Caenorhabditis elegans: one gene and its partners. The protein of the gene in region 1 binds, or shares a complex with, the protein of each later gene. Each region holds a gene or a part of one and is shown in the gene's direction. Other genes may lie near its edges. The genes, in order: dyc-1, stn-1 and dyb-1.

What was found.
Region 2: dyc-1 (region 1) and stn-1 share a complex: the UniProt entries of both Caenorhabditis elegans proteins name them as parts of the dystrophin glycoprotein complex.
Region 3: dyc-1 (region 1) and dyb-1 share a complex: the UniProt entries of both Caenorhabditis elegans proteins name them as parts of the dystrophin glycoprotein complex.

Annotation. Positions count from the first base shown.
Region 1 is NC_003284.9:14,046,671-14,055,116, forward strand, and holds the start of dyc-1 (Dystrophin-like protein 1), read left to right. Parts: upstream 1-2,864; 5' UTR 2,865-3,001; intron 3,002-3,157; exon of another isoform or gene 3,158-3,178; intron 3,179-4,144; 5' UTR 4,145-4,157; coding exon 4,158-4,274; intron 4,275-4,494; coding exon 4,495-4,566; intron 4,567-5,102; coding exon 5,103-5,257; intron 5,258-5,302; coding exon 5,303-5,411; intron 5,412-7,377; exon of another isoform or gene 7,378-7,713; intron 7,714-8,114; exon of another isoform or gene 8,115-8,239; intron 8,240-8,339; exon of another isoform or gene 8,340-8,446. UniProt on the Caenorhabditis elegans protein: Together with dys-1 and hlh-1, participates in a common muscular function.
Region 2 is NC_003279.8:9,497,457-9,507,235, forward strand, and holds stn-1 (Syntrophin-1), read left to right. Parts: upstream 1-3,811; 5' UTR 3,812-3,865; coding exon 3,866-3,961; intron 3,962-5,419; coding exon 5,420-5,541; intron 5,542-5,982; coding exon 5,983-6,898; intron 6,899-6,946; exon of another isoform or gene 6,947-7,009; coding exon 7,010-7,105; exon of another isoform or gene 7,106-7,271; coding exon 7,272-7,364; 3' UTR 7,365-7,375; exon of another isoform or gene 7,376-7,376; coding exon of another isoform or gene 7,377-7,520; intron 7,521-7,551; 3' UTR 7,552-7,702; downstream 7,703-9,779. Other genes in the region: F30A10.9 (PIN domain-containing protein), read right to left, coding at 7,377-7,520, 7,703-7,860, 7,912-8,060, 8,115-8,180, 8,236-8,309; Ubiquitin carboxyl-terminal hydrolase usp-48, read left to right, coding at 9,100-9,281, 9,334-9,591, 9,642-9,723, 9,772-9,779. UniProt on the Caenorhabditis elegans protein: Adapter protein that binds to and probably organizes the subcellular localization of a variety of membrane proteins. May link various receptors to the actin cytoskeleton and the dystrophin glycoprotein complex (DGC).
Region 3 is NC_003279.8:1,479,013-1,490,637, forward strand, and holds dyb-1 (Dystrobrevin-1), read left to right. Parts: upstream 1-4,070; 5' UTR 4,071-4,093; coding exon 4,094-4,223; intron 4,224-5,706; coding exon 5,707-5,864; intron 5,865-5,910; coding exon 5,911-6,047; intron 6,048-6,841; exon of another isoform or gene 6,842-6,913; coding exon 6,914-6,999; intron 7,000-7,043; coding exon 7,044-7,239; intron 7,240-8,166; coding exon 8,167-8,398; intron 8,399-8,594; exon of another isoform or gene 8,595-8,615; intron 8,616-8,756; coding exon 8,757-9,083; intron 9,084-9,411; coding exon 9,412-9,663; intron 9,664-10,055; coding exon 10,056-10,269; intron 10,270-11,268; coding exon 11,269-11,309; 3' UTR 11,310-11,486; downstream 11,487-11,625. Other genes in the region: acs-16 (AMP-dependent synthetase/ligase domain-containing protein), read left to right, coding at 199-457, 735-848. UniProt on the Caenorhabditis elegans protein: Plays a role in cholinergic transmission and as a functional partner of dystrophin (dys-1), necessary for muscle maintenance. Required for localization of ctn-1 near dense bodies in muscle cells.

The DNA of each region.
Region 1 (8,446 bases):
TCCTTCTGTGCGCTTTTTCCTTCTTTTTTTTCTTGTCATCCAAATTTCGTTGTTCTCAGATTTTTTTTTCTGAAACTGGTTGAAATATGAAATTCTCGAAAAACAGGTTTTTTGAATAATATTCTTGAAACTGCGATAGTTGAATCAATTTGGAGCTCGGTCATTGTATTTCTTTATTTTAAAAAAGTTTAAAATGTATTTGTGCAGCATTTTATATTGTGAGCACGACAAAATACAATTTTTTTAACCCATATAATAAACGCCTAATTAAACACCACAATATTTATCAAAGAGTGATAATTTAATTAACATTGAGTTCCAGACGCTGCGACGCCGAGAAGTTGGGAAAAAAAATTAATTTTAGCTGAAAATGAGCTTTTTTTCCAGAATTTTCAATACGTCTCATTACAAAATTCGATAATTTTTGTGCAATTTTGGGTCTAAAAAATAAAAGCCTCAGATTTTGGTGCTTAACCTTCAATGTTTAATAAAATATAAATACCCTCAATATTTGATTCATTTAGATTGTAATAGGTATTTGCACAATTAACCGTTTTCTGAAAATTAAAATTCTGGTGTCAAACTGTAACATTTTTTTAAATATGATATATAACATTGACGCTGCAAAAACTGAAAACTAAAGGTCTATCCTGGCCTCATCGTATTATATGTACTTACAATGCAGGGCTAGACTATTTTGAATTTGGCTATCACAACTGGAACTCTTTCAGTATAAGTATAATTTTGTTATTTTTAAATTACACAACATGATCTTGGCCCAAATGTTTTTGAAGTTGATGGTTCCACATCTAATTCTGACAAACATTCCAATCCACAAAAGTTAATCCAAGAACTGCCGAAAAACATGCAACTCTGCTTCGTTTTCTATTCAGACGCCTTCCGAAGACACATTACATCAAAAATGTTGGCGGAAAAAGGCCAACGCAAGAAGACGAAGATGTGGTAGATAGAGTAAGATAGAGTAAGTTTTTGGAGCAAGGCTCCCGACAAAGTCAGTCACAATAAAAAAGAAGATGTGGAGGAATAGGATGAGGAGGAGCGGTGACTCCTCTCCATCACTCCAACAAATCTAAACTCTTCTACTCGGCAATTCTATCAAAGAAGGAGATGCGCATAAGTCAATCAGCTACAAGTGCACCCATACATGCACACGCATGCTTCCTAAAATCACAACTAATTGCGCAAGACAAGACGATGAGAGAGTACGGCACACACGCAACCGCTTCTTCGTTTTCTTTTCCCCGCCGACCGCTTTTCTCTTTTTGCCCCTGTTTTGTCCTCCATTTTCCGATTTTTTTTTCTATTTTCAAATCGATTAGGAACTGAGTGATAGTGTGGATAATTGCTTCCAATGTCGCAGAAGAACGGGTGATGAGACGATATATAAAGAGCAAAACTTGCATGCTTTCATCTTGATTTTTGTTGCGTTTCTTTCAAATTTCTAGAATATAACTTCGTATATTTGCTCTAGTGCATTATGCTACTGCCAATATCTAAAAAAAAGTATGGTTTCCTTTTTTTTGAAATTTGTTTCCCAATCGCAAACTATGTGTAATTTTTTAATTCATATAGTTTTCCTAAATAGTGAAGCTTTTTTTTTGTTTTTATCATGTTTCACATTGACATCAACATGTAAATAAATACAGTTTTTCAGTATACGAAACCACGTAAAATAATTAACACCACATTTTTTGTCACAATGTTGGAAATTCAACTGACATTAATTTTTTTTTGAATTATTTTTAGATGCATTGCGATAATGGTTTGGTATGCCATTCTACTTGTACCAATCCGAAATGTTTGATATTGCACTAATTTTCCTTGTATCATTGCTTTTGTAGTGAATACTATCAGCTTTTTTCAACTAATCAATCAGAGAAACGAGTTTATAAGAGTTGTGTCACTTGGTGTCAGAGTGTCCCATTTTGGTTTGATCTACGTAGATCTACGGAATGTGCGGGGATCTAGACGCAGACTTCTCGACAGATTTTTTTGGCATTTTTGAAGGTGTGCTGACGTCGCCTTTTTTGTAAATCAAATCGTAATGAGACCGCTTGCCATCACGTGCTGTGTTAGTAATAATGGTAATTTTAAAAATTCATATGAAAGCATGGAACTACTTGAAAAATACAGTAACACAAGTTTTGTATTGTATAATATATATAACATTACATTTATTCATTTCAAATCCATGAAAGTAGAAATATCTTTCCCCCGCACTGACAATCATATTTGTAGCCGTTTTGTAGGCGCCCCTCCTCTTTTTTTGCGTTTTTATTTTATTTTTTTCTCTCAACACATCTTCAATCTTTATATTCCTATTTGAAAACGTCTCCAGGGAACCTCGCTCATCGGTCTCCCAACCAACCAATTTCCAGTTTTGTTCGGCTCGCAACTTCTTCTATTTCTTCTGTCCCCCCCCCCCCCCCCCCCCCCATCATCCTAAACTTCTTTCCCTCCTTCTTAACATCGGCTTCCGTTTTCCTCCTGTTTCCATTCTCATATTCAATTTGCGGACGGACTTTTGGTCAGTCCACTTTCCTTAAAAGTCCTTTTAGCTACACTACCTACACTTTTCTCTGCATTTGCTCTTTTGTTCAATACTCCCTTATCCGTTTTTCCTCCAGGAAAATGATCAGAAGCAAAAATATTTGGTTTTAGTGTTTAAAATTGCGTTGCCGCATGAGTTATTCATTTCTTCTTTCATTTCCTCTCTCCCCCATCTACTTGGCCCATTGTTCCTCATCATTTCTCATCATCACTCAATTATTTTTCCTCGTTTGCTCTTTTTTCATAGTGTGCCCTTTTTGTCATTTTTAGCAGCTTAATCACTGAGTTTTCAGCGAACCTCACCTCTTCACCCAACGTTTTCCAACGTCACCACCAGTTTCAATACGATATCCAAATTGTCCTGATATCGGACAATTGCTTCGTAGTATACTGGCTCATGGTAGCTGATATACTCGATATGCAGTTGAAGGTTTGATACGGTTTTGAGTGAGCGTTTTTTTTCAGAAATGTTTAACAAGTGTTTATTGTCCATTTAGAAACGGAGTAGCATCAGTAGGAAAGTTGTTTAGGGGCTGAAAAGTCAGAATATGAAACTAACAATTTTCTTCAAAGTGCACAAAAAATCTTTGTTAATTTACAGTTGAAAGCATAGTAATTTTTAAAATGAATTTCTAATAGTGTACCTAAAACATGGACTAAAATATCAATACATTCGGAAAATTGTTGAAAATGTTATCTCTTTTTCTGCTGATTTTCAGCATAAATAACATTCTGGCACTACTTCAACTTTTGTTATTTTTCCACCTAGGGCTGGCCATCTGGACGTCCGCCCACATGGAGTCACCATGGGTGGCAAAATAAGGTGGAAATTTTTTTTATCACAGGAATTAGGGGAGCTTACATCCTGACATTTTCTGGGTTCCGCTGCTTACTATAGAAACGCACGCATTATCACAATGAGACGCGGAACACAAAAAAATGTCGGGATATACGCTCCCATAAATCCACGAATGTTCAAAACCGAACGCCCGATTGTCCGAAAATCAGTACATTCGGAAAGGCCAGTCCTCTGGATTACCAGCCCTATCTTAACCTAACAAAAAATTGGTTTTGAAACCTCATGGCCTTTTCTGCGTGAAAATAGTTTTAAAGTCCAAATTTTCTTTCTGATAAAATGTTGTCTTGCGTAGTATCATGTAAATATTTTAATTTTCATTATTTTCATCTGCACGAAAACATTTCGGTCAAGTAGAAAGTGCAAAAAAGATGTATTATTACGGAAACGCAATCCAGTAATATTATTAATAAAAAACATTTACAAACCAGAGGCTCTGTACTTTATTAAAATTGACATTCATTCAGTTTTTTTAAACATGTTATGTTTATAACAAGGAATTTGTAATCGACATACGTCCTCCCGTACTAACAGCGATTTGCCGAGTGTCTAATACCACTTTGTTTTTGATTATTGTTTAAAATTCACTTTCTTCAAAACACCCATGTTTTTTATTGCTGAAACCATCTAACATCTTGTTTTACTTCTCTAACCGTTTTTCTTTAATACTTTTTTACTAACATTTCCACCATTTCATCATTATTTCATATTTTACAGAGGTGAGGATATAATGCCTGTGCGGAAAAAGCATGGTCCGTACGATATCATCGCCGACGATGTCTACGACTGCCGTATTCCACTCCATAACGAACTCGCTTATCAGCATGGTATTCATTTCGAAGCAAAGGTTTGTGAAAAGATGTATTCGAATGTTTGTACAACGCTAATCTTGTTTAAACGAACATTGAATATTCTGAAAAGCCCGGAGGGTGTAGATTAGATTGTCTTCAAGTTTGGTCCTAACGCGTTTGCAAATTTAATCATAGTGGGAAGTTTAGTTTTTTTTTTCTTTCAAAAAGAAAACAAAAACAAAACTACTGGATTTAATCCAAAAAGGGTTTTTGCAGTATGTCGGAAGCATGGAAATTCCTAGACCCGGGACGAGAATCGAGATTGTGGCGGCGATGCGACGAGTTCGAGTGAGTTTTTTTTATAAAAACTCGCAAATAGAGATATATTCAAAATGAGCTGAAATTTGCAATTGAAAATTAGTAGTATAATCTAAAATTTGTATAATTACATGGTTGCAACATTATTATTAGTAGTGTAGAAAATAGAATCGTAATACTTTGAAAGATCATAATTTATTGAATTTTTTACAAATTCTACACTTGCTAGTGTTTTCTTCTCTACAATTTTTTCGTTTGTTAAATCAATCAATATTAAAGTCAGTAAATGCTAGGCGTTGATTGAATAATCTGCCACACTGCAAAAAAGCTGATACTTTTTTACCTAAAACCTATAGTCGTATCTAAAACTTTTTTTGTTGATTAAGGAAACATAAGCAATCAATATTTGAACAAGCATATCATCGATGTGAATTTGAATTTGACCGTGTCATATTTGTTGATTTTGACTGACTTTTTCTTAAACAACCAAATTGAAGTGTTTGAAGAAAACGCTTTTGAAAATCTATTTTCCTAATTCCTTGATTATTGAATAAAACCATTTTCAGTACGAATTCAAAGCTCGTGGTATCAAAAAACGCCCGGTCGACATTACCGTATCCGTCGATGGTGTCAAAGTTGTTCTTCAGCGGAAGAAACAGAAAGAGAAAGGTCTCTCTTGGGATGAATCTAAATTACTTGTCATGTTTCACCCAATATACAGGTATTGTTAAATTTCTGTAAAATTGTTATTGTAAAAATTTTGAAGGATATTCTACGTGTCACATGATTCTCAAGATCTTCAAATATTTTCCTACATTGCACGGGATGGAGCTAGTAACACATTTAAATGCAATGTATTTAAGTGTTCTAAAAAGGTTAGTCATTATTTTCAATATTATTATTATTATTATTGAAGTAGTACTGTGATCAAATTTTTTTTTAGAAAGAGCGTCGAAAAAGTTAAAATGTTGAATTTTTTGTATATGGTGAAACTATCGAATTTGAAAATTTATGTGGTTTTCAATTAAGTATGTATTACATGAATTTTTTTTGAATAATATTTATAGAAATGAATACCGATGTTTAATCACTATACAATTTCCCAACGCGTTGTTAATCAGTTCCCACAGGTGTTACATTTCCGAAACTTCCCATTTTCGAGAAGTGGCGGAAAAACTGATTTTGTTCACAATTTAGAATATTATCCGACTCAAAAATTTTTTTTTCATATTGGCGATACTACTCTTGTAATTCTGTAAATGCCCCTCAATTTGAAAAATTGAATTGTCTACACACTTGTCCACACTACCCAAACATTTTTCTACTATCAAGAAAATGCAATTTTCATTTAAAAAACTACAGACCTTGCTGAAGATTTCGTGATTTAAGATGATAATAAGCTCTAAGACTCATTCAAATTTTTTGTGGCAATAAGTATTTTTCAAACGTTTTGAACAAAAATTATCGAAGAAAGAACAAATGATAATCAGAATTACCATGCAATCCTAAGTATTTTCACAGATTATACTTCATTTGAAAGCAAGAAAATAAAATGTATGGATCAAAAAAGCAATATTTTGGCTTAAAAAAAAGAACAAAAATCAATAACATTGTTTTCTGCCATCGTAAATTACACAACATCATTCACTGGCTTCCACTTCCAGGTTACACTCGGCCTATCCTAGACGTTTTTGTTGGGTTCACATAACGTGCTCAATGTTCTTCATGTTTTTGAACAGACAGACAGCGAAAACTTTTCGGAGCTCATCAACGAAACATACATGTTCTTTATCGTGTTGGCGGAGACCAGTTGTCTGCTTTTCAAAATCTAGTTTTTTTACTTTTTCAAGTATCGTGTTCGCAGACCTTGTATGAAAAGTATGAAAAGTAGCTGCAAGTTTTGGTGCCCAGCATATCTGACGTTTTTAGTGCAAAATAAGGTTTTTGGGAGACTTATGTGTGGATTATTGAAACGCCTTAAAATTGAATTTTTTTTAATTGATTTCTTTTTTATATTAACATGATTAACATGTTTTTTCTTCACTTTTAAACCAGCCGTAAGTCGAATGAAATTTGAACAAAAAATAAAATTTTGAAATTTTTCTCAGAGAAAAATACAAACTCAAAAAATTAATTTTAAAATAATATCCATTAGTACACACTTATCGATTTTTACAAGCTGTTCACAATTTCGATTTTTTTTCTTGCAAGAAAACCCATTTTGAAAAAGTAATTTCAAATCAAAATTTAAATTTTGTGGAAGCTAAAAAGTGTTTAAAAAATATTTTTATATGTAGAAAAGGATTCCCAATTTCAATAAGATGATACGAAACTTTCCAAAAAAGTGTAGTAGAAGTATCATTTTTAGAGAGAACTTCGAAAAGTTTCCCCGTCTTCATTTTTGAGAATACCTAAAAAAAATAATTAAAAAATTTGTATTTCTTCTGCTGAACAATCGCCTGCGGCAATTCGTCGCAACTTAAGAACCAACTTTAGCGTTTTGCAACTTTTTACTAAGCTTGCCTGCTTTAGTCAACTTTATCGAACTGTTTCTCAACTTTAGCAACTTCTGCGTTTGGCATTTCTAAAGTTGTTAAAGTTGGTGGAAAATTGCCGAGTAGGGATTTGCGTTTACTTATAGCATCTACAGGCTATTTGAAACCATTTAAAGCAAAATCCCAACAGACAATAGCATCTCTTTGAATGTTTTAACGCAAAAATTGCCGATTTCTCTCTAGGGAAAGATTCCAATTTTCTCTCCCAACCTGTGAACAAAGATCCTTGCTTTGGTCATAATTCTTCTCCAAAAACAACAAATCGATCATTATCTGTCGAGAAGTGCTGGGATTGCTGTCGCCTCACTCACTCAACGATTTTTTTTGCTGCTTCTTCCGATCCACAGGCACACCCCGACTCAAAACGAAGCGCACACCGATTGCTCTTTTTCTCGCATTGGCACATTGGCACATTGAGCGTGCGACACACTAGCAAAACGTGCCAATGTGCCATCATTCCATCAGATCCTTCTCTCCCTCTTCAGATACCGCTTCTTCATTCCCCTCCTGCGCCGTCTTCTCTACTCCCGATGCTTCTGCCTCATTCGCAGCTCTTTTGCAGCTCGATTGCTCCTGCGATTTTCTTGCGTTTTTGTTTGGCAGTCAGAGAAAGGCACTGACAACGAGCGCCGTCAATAATAATTAGAAACAGTTGGTTGCAAAACGAAGAGAAACACATACCCGCCTATTCTCACACCCAGTGTTAAACGTAGGCATGGAAAAATGCACTTTGCAAACAATTTTCTCAAGTCATATTTATTTATTCATTGCAAAATTAGTTAAAAACTGAAAATTGTGAATAATTTCGAAATGTTCAAACTTCTACTATTCTTTTCAATATTTTTTCCCGCGGTTCAATATTTTGGATAAACACTTTAAATTTTAGGCTTAAAGTTTACTATTATATCTTCCCCTAAATAAGTAGAACTCCGGAGACATCTATAATTTCCACAATCTTGATTATTTTTGCGTCCCTATTCACTTTCCCGCACGATGCATTCGGCAGACGTAGCACATACACATCCAAGAGAGCCCCGTCTTTTCATCGTCATCAACTCACTTTCGGGCTCCCGGGAAACTCGTCTCTTCTTCTTATTTTCTTGATCTCTTTTCCAATCGGTACGCCTGCGTCTCAATATATTTCCACCCTTAGCGGTGGGGCTCCGGGCTCCCTGCCGTTGTATTTTTTGCTTCTTTCCTCTTTTCCCCACCACTACTCCTGCAGAGAGAGAAAAAGGTTTTTATCGTTTTCAGCGATCCTTCTTCTTTTCGTCTCAAAAAGTCAGCTGCCACAACACGGCGCTGGGTAGCAGAGAAAAGAAAGCGGATAGAAGAATAAGAAGAAGAAGAAGGAT
Region 2 (9,779 bases), on another chromosome or scaffold:
ATCAAATGGAGTTGATGAGAAATAGGGGAAAAACTAAGTTATTTGGAATGCTGAGTTTTGAACTCGCTGTGTGCTAATTGATGTGTCAGATGAAGCTTGTTGTGGACGGAACGTAAACCTGAACTTTATACAGACGTGACCTTTGGGTCATCATGAACTTATCGCGTAAGCGACCTCTCTTTATAATTCATTACTTCTTACACTTTCTTGTAATAAACTACTTCTCTCCTTGTCTCTCGCTCAATACACAACAGTGGCGATCAGGAATATCGAAATCACACCAGGACAATGGAATCGTCAGGTAAATCATCCGCTAACGCAAATTTGCTCGCTGAGACGCTCACAACTATGCAAGCCCAACTCCAAACTCAGACTGAGATTTCTCAGCAGGTTATGGAGGACAATAAAATCCAGTCGGCGTTGCTGAAGCAACAGATGGAGATGTCGCAGGCGTTGCTGGAAGAGAATAAGCGGCTGCGCGCGGCGCAAGGGGATCAGCCTAGATTCGTGGCGGGGGTGAAAAACCGCTAAATAGCGTAAAACTTATGAGTGACTTGCTGCGTCAGTTACCCAAGTACCATTTTGATGTGTCGGAACCAGATTCCTTCACGAAGTGGTGGGCTCGGCACAAGCTCACATTTACCGAAGATGGAGCTGAGCTCTCAAATCGCGAAAGAAATCGCATGTTGGTAGCTTGCCTCGAGGAATCGACGTTTCAACGATTTGTAGATTCACAACGTGATGTTGAGGATATCTATAGCGTTCCTTTCGAAGACACTATCAAAGCTCTTAGCAAGTCTTTCGGTTCTCAGCGTAGTCTGATGATTAGACGGCAGAGTTGTCTCCTTATCAGTCGAGCCTCTGGAGCGTCTATGGATCCGCTCGAGTATACGAACCTCGTTGGTGAGGCAGTTCTCGATGCGAAACTCTCGAATATGTCGACAGATGATTGGTCGATCTTTATCTTCTTACGTGGAATGGATGCGCCGGAGGACGCCCTAGCAAAGCGTTATTTGATGCAATATTGCGAACAGTTTGAGCGGAAAGATGAAAAACTCAAGTTATCCGACGTCCATGACGAATGGATCCGTTACATCCAAACGCAGCAGCAATCCAAAGTCATCACAGCAACTCCCGCCAGACATCCGAAATTCGAAGTAAACCAAGTTGATGCAGATGACAAGAAGAAGGATTCGAGAAAAGGAAACTACAGATCTCCGTATTGTTACAAGTGTAAAGTAGTCGGGCACGTTTCAAAAGACTGTCCTCAGAGTTCCACCAATTCAGGTGTGACCAATCGTAAGACTGAGCATTCTGAAGTGAATACGCTCGAGGTTGGGTCTGGAAGACAGACATCGCCTAGTCTTCGGTTGAACGTGGAAGGACAACAGATCGATTTCACTTTTGATACAGGCAGTGACATCACCCTTATCAGTGTCCAGAACTGGCAAAAGATCGGGAAACCGCATCTCGAAAAGGTCCACCACAAAATTTGCTGTGCCAATGGTACTGAAATCGCTGTCAAAGGTAGAGTGCTCGTATGGTTCAAAGTCAAAGGTGTCGAATACACTGAGTATGTGTACGTCTGGAACAGAAACAATAATCTGTTAGGCACCAGTTGGATGCGCCACTCGCCTCAAATGCGTGATGCTCTGGCCGTAATGGTTAATCATATATCCACTGTGGATAACTCGAAGCAAAATATGCACTCGTTCTCAAGGATTCCTACTGGATACAAAGATCGTGCTGAAAATGTTGAAAGACATGTTGTTGCATCTGCGCCGCGTAGTAGTAAGCGCCAGTATGTAAGATTTGCGCGCAATAAAGCGTTTCAGATTGGGCAATTGTGCCTTGCTCGGGTTCAAGGAGAGCACAATTTTGGCTGGATTTATGGAGTGGTTCAAAGACAATTGAACGGAGTACTCTATGAAGTACAGTTGGGATCGAGAATTCAAAGAATTCACACGAACCAACTCCGTCACATTTGCGGTCGCCGGAGCCGTGGGAATGACTATGCTTCATCATTCATCGAAAATCCGTGTAAATTGTCGCTCTTGGAAAACATTCCGCGCTCTAGTTGCCGCCAAAAATTTGTCGCTCAAGGTGTCCGTGGGGAGGGGAGGGAAGCTAATCCAGTTTTAGTTTCAGATTCTTCTGTTTTTGGTTTTAGTGCTCCAGATTTGTCAGCTTGTGATTCTGTTGGTTCTCGATCTGCTCGTGAAGTCGTCTCGTCGGTTGCCGGCAATGCTCGAAATGCTACTTGTGCAAATATAACTACGATTCATGTTACGGAGAGCAAGAGTTCGTTGAAGAAAAGCCACAGAAGACGTCGCCGTGTGGCAAAGAGTCGCCAATCATATACTTCTGGAAGTTCGCCAATCAAAGAAACCCATCTGGACCCCCTGCTGGAATCCGATGTTGCGAGTGACGGCGAGCGTTTCCAACCCGGCATCCTCCTGTGTCATTCTCTTCGACAGAGTCACCCACGACAAGTTGTGCGAGGATCAGCCCCAAACACTGATCATGCCTCCACTCGCCGCAGAGGTCGATATACCGCCTCTGGTCGTGATGCCCCTAGCCCAGGCATAATTTCTGGCTTTTTGTCATATAAGAGGGGAGATGTTGTGGACGGAACGTAAACCTGAACTTTATACAGACGTGACCTTTGGGTCATCATGAACTTATCGCGTAAGCGACCTCTCTTTATAATTCATTACTTCTTACACTTTCTTGTAATAAACTACTTCTCTCCTTGTCTCTCGCTCAATACACAACAAAGCTCAACGTCAAAAAATTGAGAAACAATAACTGGTGGAGGGGAGGGAGGGAAAAAGAAATCAGATACGGTCAATGATCTAAATGTTTGAAGAAAGATCAAGGAACAAGATTCTAAAATTATTCAATTTTTTCTCAAGTTTTTCAGAATTGTTTGACACAGAATAGAATAGCTTTTGGAAGAAAAAACATTGATGGATTTTCAGATGGATTTTCTATAGATTTTTAAAGATTGCATTTCTGCTGGGGTACTGTAGTTAGAGAGCTAAAGTATCTAGAGCAGCAATTGAAAATTAAATTTCATCACGAAAAACAGAACACCTAATAGTAATTTCAATTTATTTCGAAAATAGGAATTAAATTGGATAATATTTAACTTTCACTGTATAAAAAAAGTTGTAAAAGGGAATACTTCTGATTAATGTAGTAATTGCAATTGGTTGTAATATATCGTACGACACAGAAAACTACAACTACAACCAAATGAGAAAGAAAATAAAGAAAAGAATAAAGGATCAACTTGCTTCTTCTCTCTTCAACAATACAATTGCATGTGTTCGTCACGTAGTGTGTAAGTGTTCGTCTCGTGGCGGGAAGCCAACGGGATTCTTCGCCCAACACACAATCATAACCGATATAAATTCGAGGCACCAAGCTGAGAGTCAGATGGAAAAAGAAAGAGTGAGATGTAGAGAAAGAAGCGAGACTCGGAGTGCGCGGTAGAGTTCATCAGAGAGCATGTTAGGCAGAAGAGGGAGCAGGAGTGCCGTCGCACTAGCTCTCCGGCTTCATCCGACGGAGAAGAGAGCAGTTGAGAGAAGAAGAAAAACGAGGGGAAATAGAAGAGAGAGGACTCCTCTGCTGCTCCCACAGCCCAAATATTCTATTATTGCCCCTTTTCTTTCTGTTTCTTTGCTTCTTAGCATCTTTCTCTTCTGGTTTTTTTTCTCGCTTTCCTTCATTCCGCTACAAATCCTCCCGAATTTGAATTCAAATTTTTGGCATAAATTGGTATATGCAATATTCAACTTTACAGAGTACAATCGGCTCAATTTCGTAGTATTGCTCCGATTAGATCGGCGTCGTTTCGATGGCCGCCGTTCGATCCGGCCTGGTCGACATTTTTGTTCAGGGACAATGGCATCGTGTATTGGCTACTCTCGATCCAACTGCTATCACATTACAAGTAATTTTTTAATGATAAAATATTCCGAAAACTAGAAAACCACTGGAAATTATTGTAAAACAACTCATTTTTCGCGAAATTCTAAAAATAAATTGGATGGTTTCTAAAAACGAACAAAAATCTATATTTGAAACAATTATTGTTAAATAATTTAAATTTCGGTATAATAAAATATCATTCATTTTTCTAATGTGGAATGATACAAGTTGCTGAAAAATAGTGGTCGTTCTTATTAATACCAAAATGCGAAATTTTGCTATTCAAGACAAAAGAATACGGTACCGTGTCTCAACACGATCGAGCACGGGTTTCTGGCTCGACCCCTCGGTGTATTTTGTGCAAACACCGTCACGCGCAAATGCATACACTTTTTCAACGCGCTGCGTGAAAATTCCTCTTGCGATTTCAAAAAAATTTTCCCGCCATTTCAGCGTCCGATGGAGCGCGGGGTCGAGCCAGAACCTCGTATCGAGCAGTTATAAATAAATTTGTCGGAAAAGAATGTGCGCCTTTATGAAGTACAGTAGGCTCTAATCCTCACTATTTCGCAGACTGTTTCGTTTTAGAAAAAGCAGCTGCTGGAGATTGGGTCTGGAGATTACTGTAGGTTTTAAAGGCGCACACACATTTTTCACACCTTTAATCCTTTAATCTTTTTGTAAGTTTTCAGTCGTGTCGAGACCAGGCACCGTATTCTGGCGTCATAAAACATTTATTTTTTTACGAAATTACGTCGAACATAAGTTTTCTGATGCCCACGAACGAAATATATCATCTGAAGAGATCCATCTATGGAAACCAGAAACGGGAATGGGATCATATTACAAATAGTCTATGCTTCTTCTTCTTCTTTTCCTTTCGCCACATTTTGGCTCATTTTTCAAAAAAGGAGGCGAGTTGGCTATGAAAACTTATTAGTCGTTCTTGCTAGAAGAAAAAAGAAAGAATGGAATGAGGCTACTTAGAGATGAAGTTTGTATATGATACGACTTAAAAGGAGAAAACGGATGGAGAAAGGTATACTGTGACTACAATAATTATCTTCTTGGAGTCTATATGAACTCTTCGTTCCGACATATATTCTCAAGTATTAAAATGTGTATAACTCTTTTGCTTTCTTATCTTTCTCATCTCTGGTATGACAGTCCAACTGAAATTTTGGGAAAAGACAAAGAAAATATACCATTGCTTGTCAAAAAAGAAGTCGTCATGTCATCTACTCCCCCTTCTCCAAGTATTCCGTCAATCGAAGCTCCGGCTTTTGACAAATTGGTATGCCAGCTTGCATGATTTCATTTTACTCAGTCTCCTCCAAAAATTACATTAGCATGTGTGAATTTGTTTGAAATTGTTTAAAATTTGGTCGGGAAACGTGGAAGGGGATATTTATGAGCAAGGGAAGTGAAATCCAAAGAGAAATGGGTTCAAGCTGTGATGAATAAATATACTATTTTTCAGACAATGGAGCAGAATGAGGCTGAAGCAGAGAAACGGACAGTTCGAGTTGTGAAATATGATGGAAATGGATTAGGAATTTCAATTAAGGGAGGCAGAGACAACAACATGCCTATTGTGATCAGGTATGAATGAACTTGCGGAGATTTATACATCTCGTGTGCCATTTCGTGATTTTACGTCAATTTTGAAATTTTGATCTATGATAAATAATTTTTAGTTTTAATGACAAGGGCAATTCTCTAGAGAAAATTTTTATAATAACTGAAAAATGGAAGAATGGACTAGCAAACCTCGTACACAATCGTGTGTCGATTTACTCAGCGTGTGTACTCCCCGTGGAGAAGCATTTAATTTTTTCAGAAGATTTTACAGTTTTCGGTCAAAAACAGAAAGTATTTCCCGAATTATCCAAAATTAGGAATTTAAGGCGATAACTGTGAAATTGTTTGCAAAAATGTACACTTCTCCTCGGGCAGTACACACGATACGTAAATCGACACTTTTTTTTCTGAAATAGAATGTTTAATTTAGCAATTAAAGAACAAAATTAATTTCGATTGTAGCAAAATCTTCAAAGGAATGGCAGCGGATCAGGCTGGAGAACTATTTCTTGATGACGTCATTATCTCTGTGAATGGAGAAAACCTTCTCGATGCTTCACACGAAGAAGCTGTAAGAGCATTGAAACGAGCTGGACGGGTTGTTGACTTGCAAGTACAGTATAGAAGAGAGGATATGATGCATCGGGAAAATATTGTGGAAAATGTTGAATGGGATGATGATATTCGGGAACGAGTTAGAACAATTGGTTTAAAGCTTGCATATGTGGCAAGAGCTGGAATAGATGCAGATGCAGAAGGTAGAATTCTAGAAATGAGAAGTCCATCAGGAAGGTATTCCCTAGCAATGAGATGTTCAAGTAGTGAAGAAGCAGATGGATGGTTTGAAGCTTTACATGCCTGTACCACGTGTCTTCTGACTCAGGCACTGGCTCAAGTCAATATAATGCTCGGTAACAACCCCCAAGTGAGACATATGGGTTGGATTGCAGAACAAGTATCAGAAAATGGAATTTCAATGTGGAAACCTAAATTTATGACGCTTACGAATAGTGAGATCTTGTTCTATGAAGCTGTTCCACAGCTGAAAGCAGAATGGGCAGAGCCAAGACTAGTACGTCCTCTGGTGGCAACAAGAGTCGTTCAGACAAGTTCTCGAACTGCGCCAGTAATTAAAGGTCTCACTGATGTGATCTCTTTCCGTATGAGAACTGGAACTCAACAAGGTGTTCGGACACATACGATCCGGGTAGAAACTCATGCAGAACTGGCACGATGGGTTCGTGCAGTAGTGATCGGTGGATATGAAGCATGTCTTTCTACATCTCAAGTCTCTGCTCCTTGTCTTTGGCGAGGCGAATCATGCGAACTAATAGTTAATCTAGACAATGGAATATCATTACTTTCGTCGACTGGAGAGGTGAGCTCATTGGAATAATTTAGCAATAAGAAAGTGATAAACGTTTTCTAGATTAAAACAAAGATTTATAACATTTAGAGAAGCTACATTTTCTTAAAGCTTACAATTCAGGTACTGTGGCAACATTCGTTTGAAACGATTCGCGCCACCGGCGATGATGGTGGTCGTTTTCTCTGGGTCGATTTTGGACCACCACATGGTGAACAGGTAAAAATGGATTTTATTTTAACCTTAATTTCATACTTATAGAAAAAAAACGGATTTTTTTTGTGTAAAGTTTTTGAATAAAAAAAAGGATAGGCAACAAAACAATAAAAGCAGATCAACAAGTAATATTCAAAACAAAAGAAGCATAAATGAATGAAAAATTTAGGAATTGGATTTGCTAAATTCCGCAAAGCCAGTCGTGTTCATTCTTCATTCATTTCTCGCCACCAAGGTGTATCGATTAGGATTGTACGCGTGAAGCATCAAAAGGTTAGTTCATTGGAGCTCCATATGCATCAGGCATTCGCTCAATGGAGAATCTGTGATTGACAATGTACATGATCGGAACTCCTGGGATCTTTCGGATGCGGCGCTTCAGATCACGATCACAAGTGGCCACAATATAGCATTTATGCTGAAAATTATATTATTTTTTTCATTTTCAGATTCGTTATTTGTTCAAGTTTGCCAAACAAAAAGACTGCAGCAATACCACATTCCGTCTCCTGCCTCTTCTCGTCATAATAGATTTTATTCGTTTAAGATTTGTTAGATTTTATTAAATGAAAAACAATGAAAAATTATGAATAAACGAACCTGTGTAACTCTTTGAACCAAACAATCATCAGCATATGTTCCTTTGTGCTCACACTTCAGTCTCTGCACACGTGGATCTTTCAGAACTTTCAGAGCAATTTTGAATCTTCTCACTTTTTCCAATTCAGCCAATACACAGTCAGTTGCGTACACAATAGCTGAATTATTGTGATAAAATACAAGAAAACGAAAGAAAGTGTATGACTCACTTTTCGCGAACAGACAATCCATGAATCCTTGAAACATGTCAATGCGATTTTTGACGGCGAAATTCACAAAATTGGTATCGACAATAACGTGAAATGGTGGACCCAGCTGTGTATTGTATTTCATAAACATAGCGGATGAGATTTTTGGACTGAAATTATGAATTATTATTGTCTGGACACATATTCGTACGAATAAAACTTACGCACGGACCAATTTGAGTTCTTGTTCATCTACTTTCGGTGTTCTAATGACTCTTTGTTCTTCTTTTCTGAAATATTGCGTTTTAAATCAAGGTTATTCGATAAAATTATCGTTATCCTTACATTCTGTTGTCTGTCTTTTTGACAAGCTTGTTTACAGCGCTTTTTCTGGCGTTGGACTTCAAGCGTTTACCCATTTTCTGTAAATTAGAACATATATTTGTAAATTAGCACATATATTATCGAAGAAATTTGGAAAAAACGAAGAAAATCTTTAAAATAAGAATCTCGAACAAAATATCGAGACCCGAAGAACTCGGGGGATGTCCAATTGGGGGGATTACCAACTCGGGGGATTGGCCCCGCCCACAGAACCGTGGCTTGCAATACGCCCATTTCTGCAACTGCCGCACGGTTTTGAAACTGTATTTTTCTTGTTAATTCTCGCTCTATTGAGAAAAATACAGTTTCGAAACCGTGCGGCAGTTGCAGAAATGGGCGTATTGCAAGCCACGGTTCTGTGGGCGGGGCCAATCCCCCGAGTTGGTAATCCCCCCAATTGGACATCCCCAGAGTTCTTCGGGTCTCAAAATATCAGAAAAAATTTTTGCGAAAAAGTCCGCAGAGTTGGTGCTCCGTGTATGCACCAGTCAATGCATTTAATCTGACGCACAAACCAGCATTTCAAGAAATTGCATTCAATGTGCATCGCATATTCAAATTTCTGTCAGCTATTTATGTTTTTATTTTATTGCCCCGTTTCTTTTCTCCGCGGACTATTGATTATTGACGATGTGGAATAATTCATACACGAACTTTTAAATCTTAACGCCAAGAAAAAGTGCAAGAATTCAGTTTAAAATTTGAATAAAAAGTAAAATAATATTTTCGCGTTGTCATGTTTTCAAAGTCTGCTTTTATTTTTATTCTTAACGAGAACACTTCCTTTAATAAAGGAATGTCTAAAAAGATTTTCAATTTCAGAAAATGACAAAGGAGACTGACAAAAAGCCAAAAGAACGTCCGAATCAAAGAAAAGTTGCATTTCGAAATGAAGCAATAAATGCATTAGTAAATACAGATGAGGACCAAGTCACATTTTCGAAAGCAATGGAAGTTGCCAAATTAGATTGTCAAAAGTGTCTTCTACACGATATGCATAGTTCAAAGTAAGCATTTTTATTAAACAAACTATAATTAATTTTGTTTTTATCGATTCAGGTCATCGAATTGTCGCGATAATCCATTTTGTATACATCGATTAGGACTCGAGAAGTTTGAAAAGTTGATAACTCAGGAGCAGGAAACTAAAGAAGAAGCGAAAAAAGATCAAAAGCGGAGAGATCTGAATGATCAACCAGCCGGGCTTATCAATGGAGGAAACTTTTGCTATGTGAATAGTTTTCTTCAAGTCTGGTTCAACGTTCCTGAGTTCCGGCAGTTGATCTATGATTTCCGACCATCGGAGAACTTTGTTCCGTTAGTTTTGTTGCCTCAGTTTTTCAAAAAAAATTTGTTTTATTTTTCAGGCCAGAAGCTCCAAGAATGAATGTTCAAGCAACTATGCTCGCGCTTCAAGACATTTTTTATACACTACAGACAACTCCTTTCGTAAGTTATTTGATATGAATGCTGTTAATTTTAGATTTTTCTTTCCAGAACGAGAC
Region 3 (11,625 bases), on another chromosome or scaffold:
TCTAGGCCACCTGGTAGTCTTGGCCTAATTTTTACTCGGTGGCCTAACAATTCAAAAAGTTTAGCTATCACATGCAATATAATGGCCTAACTTCTTGCACTGCAAGTCCGCGAGATGGACAAAAATCCAAATTTTTAGCTCTTGGCCTAGTTTTTCCGCTTAGTGGAAAAGTTAGGCCACCAACATAAATTTTTCCAGAGACATCGGTCGAATGGACGAAAACGGAGCGATCGAGGTGGTGGCAAGCGAGGATGATCTGATATATGACAAGAATAATTGTCTAGTCGAACACTGGAATTTGGAACGTCTCCTGAATCAGAATGATTTGATAAAAGGGGTTCAAGTGGTGTCACGTGGTAGAGGACAACCGGTCACGGCAGTTTGTGTCGCCAGAAGTACACAATTTCATGCGGCAAAGCTGAAGGATGAGCTGAAGAGCATGTGTCGTTCACATCATGTAGGTTGATGAAGCACGTGGCCTAGAAGTTCTAGAAAGTTAGGCCATGGCTTTCTAGGACACACCAAATTTGCAGAAACCCCCAAATTGTCGTTTTGTAGCCTAACTTTTATGATTTCTAGGCAATCGGAAAAATAATCTTCCACGAGCCAATGGGGACTAACTTTTATTCGGTGACCTAACTTTCTCTTTTCCTAGGCCACCGATGCAAAATTAGTCTGTGGCCGAACTACCCACATTGTGGCCGAACTTTTCAGGTCTATTTTTGAATTTTCAGTTTGTCGCTCCCGACGTGTTCGCCTTTGTCGATGATTTCCCGAGAGTGCACACGAAAATTCAAAAATTCCGGATTCGCGCCATGCTGGAGAGCGGACAAATCTCTGTTTTTTAATTTTAAGATGTTTTTTCTGTGTATTGTCTGTAAAATGGAGTTTCGATAAATATTAAAAGTCTGCTTTCTTGTTTTCTAGGCCACGAAATGGAAAGTTAGTCCGTCGCGTTAAAGTGCAGTCAAAAAATATTCAAAACGCAAACTTTTTTACTTATATTTTTAAACTGTTTTTTTTTAATTTTCCAGATGAAAAGTTAATGAAAAAGTAAGGCCACCAAGTGAACCTAACTTTGGCCTAACTTTTCACTTGGTGTGAAAAAAAAAATGAAAAAGTAACGCTTTTAAACGATTTCGAACCTGAATTAATTAATTTCACTGATTTACGCCTGTAATCGTGTTTTTTAATCGAGCAAAAATGCACCGAAAACATTAAAAATCGGTGGAAAATAACAATAAATAAAATAAATAAAAATAAAAACGTGCAAGCGCGCTCCATCGAACAAATCCAATTGGCGGTAATTAAAATAAGAATTAGGCAAAAACTGAGATTTTTTCAATTTTCAAAAAATCATATAAAATTTAGAAAATTTTTTTGAATTTTTTTATCATGATATTATGTCATTGTGGTACCATAGGCGTGTTTTAAAGCAATTTCCCCACTAGCGCTACTCCACCTTTAAACGATCCACGTGTATTCAGCTCGACCAACGCCTCGAAAATTTTCTAATTTTCAAAATTTTTTTTAATAATTTTTTTTTTCATTGCCAAGAGGAATTTCACCGCAGCGCGTGCAAAAATGTCTGCATTTGCGCGTGACGGTGTTTGCACAAATGACACCAAATGGTCGAGCTGAAAACACGTGCGATCTTCGTTTAAAATTAAAAAAAAATTGTACCAGAAAAAATTGATACAAACCTTAATGAGCTCGTGAAAAGTTACACGGATTTCTGGCTTCCGTCATAAATTGAAATGGAAGAGTTTTTGCCGAACTAGGCCATTTTGGCTCGGCCATATCTGGGGTAGATTTACGGCGCGTTGCGTGTCGCGTCGCGGCTTGATTTTAGTTGTCAAACTGAATGTATTTGTCCGTGTGGAGTACACAACTTTCCCAAGTTGAGTGGAGAAATCGAGTCAAAATGCAATAACATTGAATAAAGCCAATTAATAAAAAAATTTATTTGAAAAATTTTAATAAATTTTACGAAAATCGGCGCTTAAATTGAAAACCAATTATGCAAAATGCGATGTGACGTCACAGGGTATTTTCCCGCCTTTTCGAGTCATCATTTTAGCAGTTTTTTGTGTAAAATTCGTGTAGATCACGGGTAGATCACACAATTTATCTCTTATTTCGTATTTCTGTTTTTTTTTTTTTTTTTTTTTCATTTTGATCTACATCAGGGGTGGGCGGCAAACGATTTTTCCCGGCAATCGGCAAACCGGCAAATTGCCGGAATCGAAAACTTCCGGCAAATCGGCATACCAGCAGTTTGCCGATTTGCCGAATTTGTCGACAAATTAATTTGTCGCCCACCCCTGATCTACACGAATTTTAAACAAAAAAAAACATTCCGCATAAAACCGCCTCCTTTTAAAATTGTGAAAGTGGAGAAACAAACACACGTTAAGCCAAAATTTCTTTCATTTCGTGGCCTAGAAAATCCAAAAACTTAGGCCACTAATTTTCTCTTCCTCATCCACTTCGTAATATCCCTGTGTATAATGCGTATACTTTTACACCTCATTGAGTTGAGACGGATGGGGTGAGGGGTCCCAATGTTTCAGTGGGGGCCCCCTATCTCTTTTTCTCTGCACTCTCTCTCTCTCTCTCTCTCTCTCTCTCTCTCTCTCTCTCCATCTTTCTCCGTATGCTCACATTCATCCCACCGCTGCTCTCTGAGCCAATACGTCTCCCCCCCCCCCCTCCTCTCCTTTTGCACATCGATCCGTCTTGTGTCTCTCTTTCTCTAATACTCTCTATTTCTCTAAGTCTCTCTCTCTCACTCACGTTTGCCTAAATTCACTTTCTCCAGTGTTCCCTTGAGTGCTCCGAGAGCAAAAGCGTATACCACGAATTAATTTTTAATTCGTGTATTTTTGGCTCGATTTTCCCTTTTTTTTCAACATTTTTCTAAAAATTATTGCTGCAATCGCGCTTTAATGGCAATATTACCTGAAAATTCGTATGTTGTTGCAATGCAATCGCGCTCTATTGGACAAATTTTTAATCCGAATTTTGAAGTTTTCTTTAGTGGAAATCTCTATTGAAATTTTTTTATAAATTGTTTATACAAACACGCTCTAATGATAAAAAGGCTTTAAATTGTGTACTCCGCGTGGAAAAAAGCAAGTTTTTTGTTGTATTTTTTGAAAATATTTTTTTTAAAGAACTTTTTTTGAATACTCTGTGTAGTTCTCGTGGACAAGTTTGGGCCTATTTCGCTTAAAAACCTGAAACACGCGAAATTCCAGTTTCGGGGGATTTCAACTACCCGATTAGAAAAAAAACTTTTTTCACAAATTCAATTTCTGCCGAATCAAAATTCTCCGGAATTCAAGTTTCCGCGAATTTCAACCTAAAAAAATTTTAGCTCAAAAACCGTAAGGTAGTTGAAATCCACGGAAACGAAAATTCCGGCGAATCAAGTTTCCGTGGATTTCAACGCTTATTGAACAAATTTCTACAAAACGCCCCCGGGAGTTCAAATCCGCGGAATCGAAATTCCCTGGGATTTTGATTTACCGGGATTCAAGTGGTGTCAATGGGAGAGGAAATGCATTTTCTCTTACGCGCGTGGTGTCAGAGTGTCTCATTTCGGTTTGATCTACGTAGATCTACAAAAAATGAGGGAAAAGAAGAGACGCAGAGTTCTCAACTGATTTCTCATTCCCGCATTTTTTGTAGATCAAGCCGTAATGGGACAACCTGATACCACGTGACCGTTATTATTTTTCTCTCAATCCTGAGATTTAAAATCCCGCGGAGTCGAAATTCCCCAAAAATATTTTTTGTACTCCTCGTGGACAACCTCGTTGGTTCCCTGAAACATATTGGCTTAGTAATGTGCCAAGCAAATCAGCGCGCATACATGCAAAACCCATTAGGCTCCCCCCAAATGTCTTCTCTCCCAGAGTTAGACTCCGCCCACTAGGAGCCAGAGCTCCCCCAATTTTCTTTGTTTTAAACCCTACCACTTTTTAGCTCTGGCCAGCCATTTTGTGGGTGGAGTTTTGGTTTAAATTTTTTTAAAATTGATTTAAAATTTAAATTTTAAATTTCAGACACTCTGGGTTTTTCTCCTGAAATGTTGTGGTCAAATGGTGGAGGAGGACCACGTGAGCCGAGCAGTGCACCATCACCAGACCATCATCGTGCAATGCATTCTGTACCACCAATTGTGGCATCTGAAATGCAACAATTGATTGATGAAATGCGTGGGTGTTCAATTTTGCGGGAAAATTGGCTAAAAAACGCTAAAAAATTCCCGCGTTTTTGATTCTCCGGAATTTTAACTTCTATGGGATTATTTTTCGGTGGATTCGAATTTTCGGAAATTTTCAATAAATCTTTTTTCATTAGAGATTTTCAAAGAAAAAGTAGAAAAAATACCTAACTATGTAAAAAAAATTAACGGAAAATCTCCACGTTTCTAAGTCTTCGGAATTTAGATTTCCCTGGAATTAAGTACTCGGTGGATTTGAATTTACGGGATTTTTTTTCTTTAAAATTTTTTTCAAATTTATGTTCAAGTTAGCACAGCAAAAAAATTTTTTTTTTAATTCACGTTTTTGAATCTACGGAATCCAATTTCCCTGGAATTTCGCTTCCGCGTATTTGGATTTCTGAGTTTTTAAATATAAATTTTTGCAGAAAATGTGAAAATTACGTGGAAACTCAAAATTCGCCGAAAAAGGACAAAAAATCTCGAGTTTCCAATTTAGCGGAATAAAAATTCCCGGGAATTTTGTTTCCGTGGATATTAACTACCCAAATTTTTTACCATTTTTCTCAATTCCAATTTCAATTTTTTCATGGAAAAATTGGTTAAAAAACGCAAAAAATTCCCGCGTTTTTGATTCTCCGGAATTTTATTTTCTCTGGGATTTTTTTTCGGTGGATTTGAATTTTCGGAAATTTTCAAAGAAAAAGTAGAAAAAATACCTTATTATGTAAAAAATTAACGGAAAAATTTCCACGTTTCTAAGTCGTCGGAATTTAGAGTTCCCTGGAATTAAGTACTCTGTGGATTTGAATTTACTGGATTTTTTAAAACAAAATTTATACGAAATGCTCAAAGTTGATACACTCTCCAAAATGTTCATGAAATTTACAAGTTAACACAACAAAAAATGTCAAAAAACTCCGCGTTTTCAAATCCCCCATTATCGAAATTTCACGGGAATCCAGATTCCAGGGAATTTGGCATTCGGGGAATAAAATTTTCGGATTTTTTTCTATGAAAATTAGTCAGGGTCTGGATAAAATAACAAACGAGTGGAAGCAAAAATTTCGCCGCAAAAAGAACAAAAAACTCGAGTTTCCAATTCCGCGGCATAAAAATCCCGTGAATTTTGTTTCCGCGGATATCAACTACCCGACTTTTTTAAAAACATTTTTTCTCAATGCTCAATGTTGTCGAAAAAACACGGAAATACCTTCAAAAAAAATCCAAAAAAAAAACCCTAAAAATTCCGGTATCCAATTCTACAGAATCGAAAATTCCCTAAGAATTTTGTGGATATCAACTACCCGAGTTTTTTTTTGAAAATTCATGAATTTTTCCGCTACTCCTCTTGAGAAAGGGAAGCTTATAAATAATTCTTCTTTGCGAAAAAGTGCAAAAAAATTATTGGCTTTCATTGGTTAATGCCCAAAGTTCAGAAAAAAAGTTGAATCATCAATAGAGCGCATTTTCAGGTCTCCAAGATTTCGACTCCATCAGATTTGCCACGTATCGAGCCGCCTGTAAACTGCGATTTATTCAACAAAAGACGAAAGTTCATTTGGTAGATATTTGGAATATGATTGAAGCTTTTCGAGAAAACGGACTCAATGCATTACCCCTACATACTGTGGTATGTTGCAAGTGTGCTCTATTGAGAATGTGGGGGAAATTTTCAGATCAAAACGTCACGCGCCGAGCTTCTGCTAACTACAGTATTCCACAATTTGAATAAAAGACTTGTAGCGTCACAACATGTGGACACGGATGTATCGATTTCTTTGCTACTCGCGTTTTTGTTAGGTGCTTATGATAAGTGAGTTTTGGACTCCTCTCGGACAAAAAACTCACGCTTCTGAATCCCCGGAACCCAGATTCCCCAGGAATTTAGATTCGGCAAATTCGAAATTCTAAGAATTTTTTCTTGTGTTACTGCGTGAAAACTGTGTATTTAGAATTCCAATTTTTACTGCAAAAAATAACGAAAAATATTCGGGTTTTCGTGTCTCCAGAATCTAGATTCCCTAAGAATTTTGATTCCGCGTATTGGAATCTACGGGATTCAATCTACACATGTTCTGTAAATAACAGAAATTTTGGTAATATATGAAAAAATTTAAAATCCTAAAACTGAAAGAAAATTTCCGGTTTTCGGATCCGCGGAATTTCACATTCCACCGGAATTTGGTTCCCACAGATTTCAACTATCCGAAATTTTTTCTGTTTTTTTTTGTTTTCAGCATAATGTTTTGATTTTTCAAAAATGAAAATTGACTGAAAGAGCAGAAAAAATCTCAGGGTTTCATATCTCTGGAATTAAAATTTCCCAGTGAATTTTTATTCATATAAGGACACTTTGCAAAAAAATTTTTTTTTGATAAAGTCACGGATTTCTGGCTTCCCTCATAAATTGAAATGGAAGAGTTTTTGCCGAACTAGGCCAGTAGATTTACGGCGCGTTGCGTGTCGCGTCGCGGCTCGATTTTAGTTGTAAAACTAAATGTATTTGTCCGTGTGGAGTACACGACTTTCCCGTCCGGCAGGCGATTATCAATGGAGCGCGAAAAATTCAATGAGGAAGGCCAAAACCCCGTGCGCAGTTAGGCTGTAATTCTCACAACGACACTCCGATATTCCGCTACCTAGAAGTGACGTCACACGCTTCAAAAGCCAATTTTTCAGACAAAATACCGGACGTTTGACGGTTTTTTCAATAAAAGTCGCGTTGGCAACACTCTGCGCTGGAAAATTGGTGGACAAGCTGAGATGTGAGTTGCGCTTGCGAATTTCAAAAAAAAATCTGAAATTTCAGACATTTTCTCTCAAATCGCTGATTCGAATGGATTAATGGATCATATTAAATTTACTGATTTTTTGCAACAAATCCTCTCCCTAACCACTGCAGTTTTCGAAGCACCGACGTTTGGATTTTCCGAAAACGCGGTTAATCAGTGCTTTCATAAGGATGAGAAAGTATCTTTGAATGTGTTTCTGGACACTTTTTTGAGGTAGATATCAATTTTGGAAATAAATAAAAAAATAGATTTTAGAAAAAGTTTTGAAAAAGTTTTGAAAAAATTAACCTTTTACACAAAACTACGTTAGCATGTGGTGCCAGGTTGTCCAATTACGGTTTGATCTACAAAAAATGCGGGAATTTTTTCGCCCAAAAAATGTGACGTCAGCACGTTCTTAATCATGTGAAATCAGTTGAGAACTCTACGTCTCTTCTCCCGCATTTTTTGTAGATCTACGTAGATCACGCCGAAATGAGACACTCTGACACCACGCGCGAAAGAGAAAATGCATTTCCTCTCCCATCGGGGGGAAAACCAGTCCCTCAACTCACCCAGAATAATAATTTAGGTGTCTTGGAAGTTCTGAAACACCTAACATTTTGAAAAATTAGAAAAAATAATAGACGTAGGGCTGAAGTCCTCCCGCGGCCACGTAAGGCATCCCCGTGGCCTAGGATTTTCAGAGCGGTGTAACTTTTGAAAAACTGTAAAAATTTTTTTTTAATTCTGCAATAATTGTATCTATAACTTATTCAATGAAACCAAATCAAAAAATCGAATTTTTCTTTTCATGGGGTCACGGGTCCCCACGCCGCCACCGAAGTCCTCGCCGTGGCCTAGAAACTTTCAAACAGTGCATCCCTAAAGCCACTGCGCCGATTTTCTTGAAACTTTATCAGAACACTTTATATAACAATTTCTATCAAATTATCAAATAAAATCGAATTTTAGTTGTCATGGGGTCACGGGTCCCCCCCCCCCCCCCACGGGGTGACCGAAGTTCTCACCGTGGCCTAGAATCTTCAAAATGGTGTAACTCTATAGCCACTGCGTTAATTTTCTTGAAAATTTATCAACCAACACTTTGAAACCTGTTCTGTCAAATTATCAAAAAATCATACAAAATTAATATTCCAGCGATCCATGTCCCCCATGCATAATGTGGCTCCCCTTGCTACATCGAATGGCGTCTGTGAGCAACGTGTACCATCCGGTGGTGTGTGATGCGTGTCAAGTCAGAAGTTTCACAGGATTTCGGTATAAATGTCAGCGATGCGCCAATTATCAGTTGTGTCAAAGCTGTTTTTGGCGGGGAAGGACGAGTCAAAATCATTCAAATGAGCACGAGATGAAAGAATATTCCAGCTATGTGAGTTTTTTGAAAAATCGATTTTCCACGTGGAGTACACGAAAATGTATCTATAAAGCGCGCGATAAAATTATTGATTTTCCGCCGGCGATGAAGAATCGATAAAATTATTGATTTTCCGCCGGCAATCAAAAAAATCGATAAAGTTATCGATTTTCATTCGACAAAAACGATTAGTTAACAGAGAAATTATCAATTGCTGGACAACAAACAATCAATAAAAATGTAGATTTTCCGCCGGCAATCAAAAATCGATGAAATTATTGATTTTCCGCCGGGCAAAAAAAAAATCGATAAAATTATGGAAAAAAGCGTTCTCAACTCCAAAATCAATAAATCAATAACTTAGTAATTTCAGAAATCGCCGACAAAACAGCTCGTACACTCAATTCACAAAAGTCTCCAATGTATTCCTGCCACGTCAACCGTCGGCGATGCAAACATCGATATTTTTAACGCAAAAATCGGTGGCCCGGTCAGCAGCAAACCTGCTCGACCGCTAAACCTGAACAACATCGTCCCGGCGACACCGACGACGATCCGCCGGCAACACGCTGCCACGTCATCAGCGGACTGGCCGACGTCACCGGTACTTCTGCCGGGACAGGCGTCGCATGGAGGAGTTATTGATGATGAGCATAAGCTTATTGCGAGATATGCAGCAAAGTTGTCGGGAAGGGCTGATGTGAGTTTTTAATCGAAAAAAATCAGGAAAAAATCAATAAAAATCTTGATTTCCCGCCGGCAATAAAAATCGATAAAAATCTTGATTTTCCGCCGGCAATAAAAAAAATCGATAAACATCTTGATTTTCCGACGGCAAACAAAAAAAATCAATAAAATTATTGATTTTCCGCCGGCGATAAAATTCGATTAAATTATTGATTTTCCGCCGGCAATCAAAAAAATCGATAAAATTATTGATTTTCCGCCGGCGGCAGAAAGTCAAATTATTGATTTAATAAAATTTGATCGATTATCGATTTTTCTTTTTAAAAATCAATAAATTGCAGTATCCCCTATCAAACGGTCGAAGTATGAATAGTTCAATGGTCGGAGACGAACGGACCCTTATTGCTCAACTGGAAGAAGAAAATTCAATGATGGTACGGGAAATGGCTCGACTGGAGAGCCAAACAACTTCCGATGACGGGCTCGCCGGGCTCCGCGACCGGAAAATGGAATTGGAAGAGAAAATGTTTGAAATGCAACAGAGGAGGAGAGAATTAATGATGCAATTGGAGCATTTAATGGCTCAGTTGAATGTAGGTCATACCTACTGTGGCTAACGCGCTCTATAGATAAACAATGTAAAAATCGATAATTTTGCAGAATTCAAAAACAATCGTTATATTTTCCTCCAAATTTAGAAAAAATACTTGATAATTTTCAAAAAATTCGAAAAATCGATAATTTTTATATTTTAAGAAAACAAAGTTTTTGGAGTTTTTGATTTTCCGCCGGAGATAAAATCGATAAAATTATTGATTTTCCGCCGGCGATAAAAACCGATAAAATGTGTAAACCTGTCGATTTTTTAAGCTTCAGTAAAAATCAAAAATTCAATATCGGCTTTTCTGAAAAATTCAACCTTCAAAAAATCAATAAAATTAAATTATCGATTTTTTGATTTCAAAACAACAAAAACCTTTTCCAGACGGGACCCCAACCATCAGGAGGTGTATCATCTGCTTCTCTATCCCAATTACCATTCACTGCATCGGATCAACAGTTGACTGGAGTCAATTCGACAGTAGCAAATGCATTCCGTGCGGGAAGTCTGCCGGCGACAAGTCTACAAGGAGACTTATTACATGCTGCTGATCAAATTACTACTAATATGAGCGATCTTGTGCGGCAACTTGATTTGGGTGAGTTGTGACGCTGGTTCATAAATTAAAATATATATAATGACTTGGTGACTTGGAAATATTTTCCAAAAATCGATAATTCTTATTAAAAAATCAATAATATTGGAAAATCGATAAAATTATTGATCTTCCGCCGGCGATAAATAACTATGATATTATTGATTTTCCCCCGGCAATCAAAAAAATCGATAAAATTATTGATTATTCGCCGGCGATAAAAAATTGATAAAAGTATTGATTTTCTATCGGCAAAGACTATCGATTTTCTCTCTTTTGCGGCAACTCGATTTGGGTGAGCTCCGACGTTGGTTGATAAAAATCGATAATTATTTTGTTTGGGGAAAAAATCGCCAAAAGTCGATAATTTTAATAAATCAATAATTTCGAAAAATCGATATTTTGGAAAATCGATAAACATAGATTTTTCTGATCACCGCAACTCGATTGTGATAAAATCAATAATTTTGAAAAATTGGCAACTCGGAAAAATGGTTCAATTCCAAAATGATTATTACAAAATCGTTTCGAAAATCGGCTAATTGGGAATAACGAAAATTTCAAAAAATCGATAATGTCCAAGAATAGATAATTTTCATATTTTGATACTGCTGAGAAATTGAGAATTTCTGAAAATAATTTTACTGTTGGTATCTAAATATCAGTAAAACTCTTCGCTGCGAGACCCACTGCCTACGCCTTGAAAATGAAAGTTCCCAGCTTCACAAATGTATAATAATACTATTCGCTGCGAGACTCACTGATGCACCATTAAATTGGAACTTCCGAGTTTCACAAACGTATAATAATATTATTAGCTGCAAGAGCCACTGTATGCGCCTTGAAAATGAAAGTTTACAGCGTCACCAACGTATAATATTACATTTCCCTGTGAGACCTTCCTCGTGTGCCTTTTAACGGAAAGTTTACAGCTTCTCAAACGTATAATAATACTTTTCGCTGCGAGACCCATTTCGGCGACCCTATAATAATTTTTTCCAGCTCAATCAGACGAAAATGGCGTAACAATCAATGGCTTCTGAAAAACCTCGAATTCCTCCAGATTAATCTCAAAAAATTGCAACTCTCATATCGGGTCGCCATCGTCCAAATTGGCTCCGAGCTCAATTTCCATTGTTTTTTTTTGTAAATTTTTTAGGCAACAATTTTCATTGCGAAAATTTTTTTTGAAAAAATATGAATATGATAAATAATCAAAAAAACATGATGGCTGCTTACCTATGCGGAGGAGGGAGATTTTCAGGAGAAAGGCGCGAAAAACGGGTAAAAAAGTGGAAAAAATAAAAACAAACATCTAACCGAGTGACTGTGTGAAGGGGAAATTGAGTCAAAAAAATA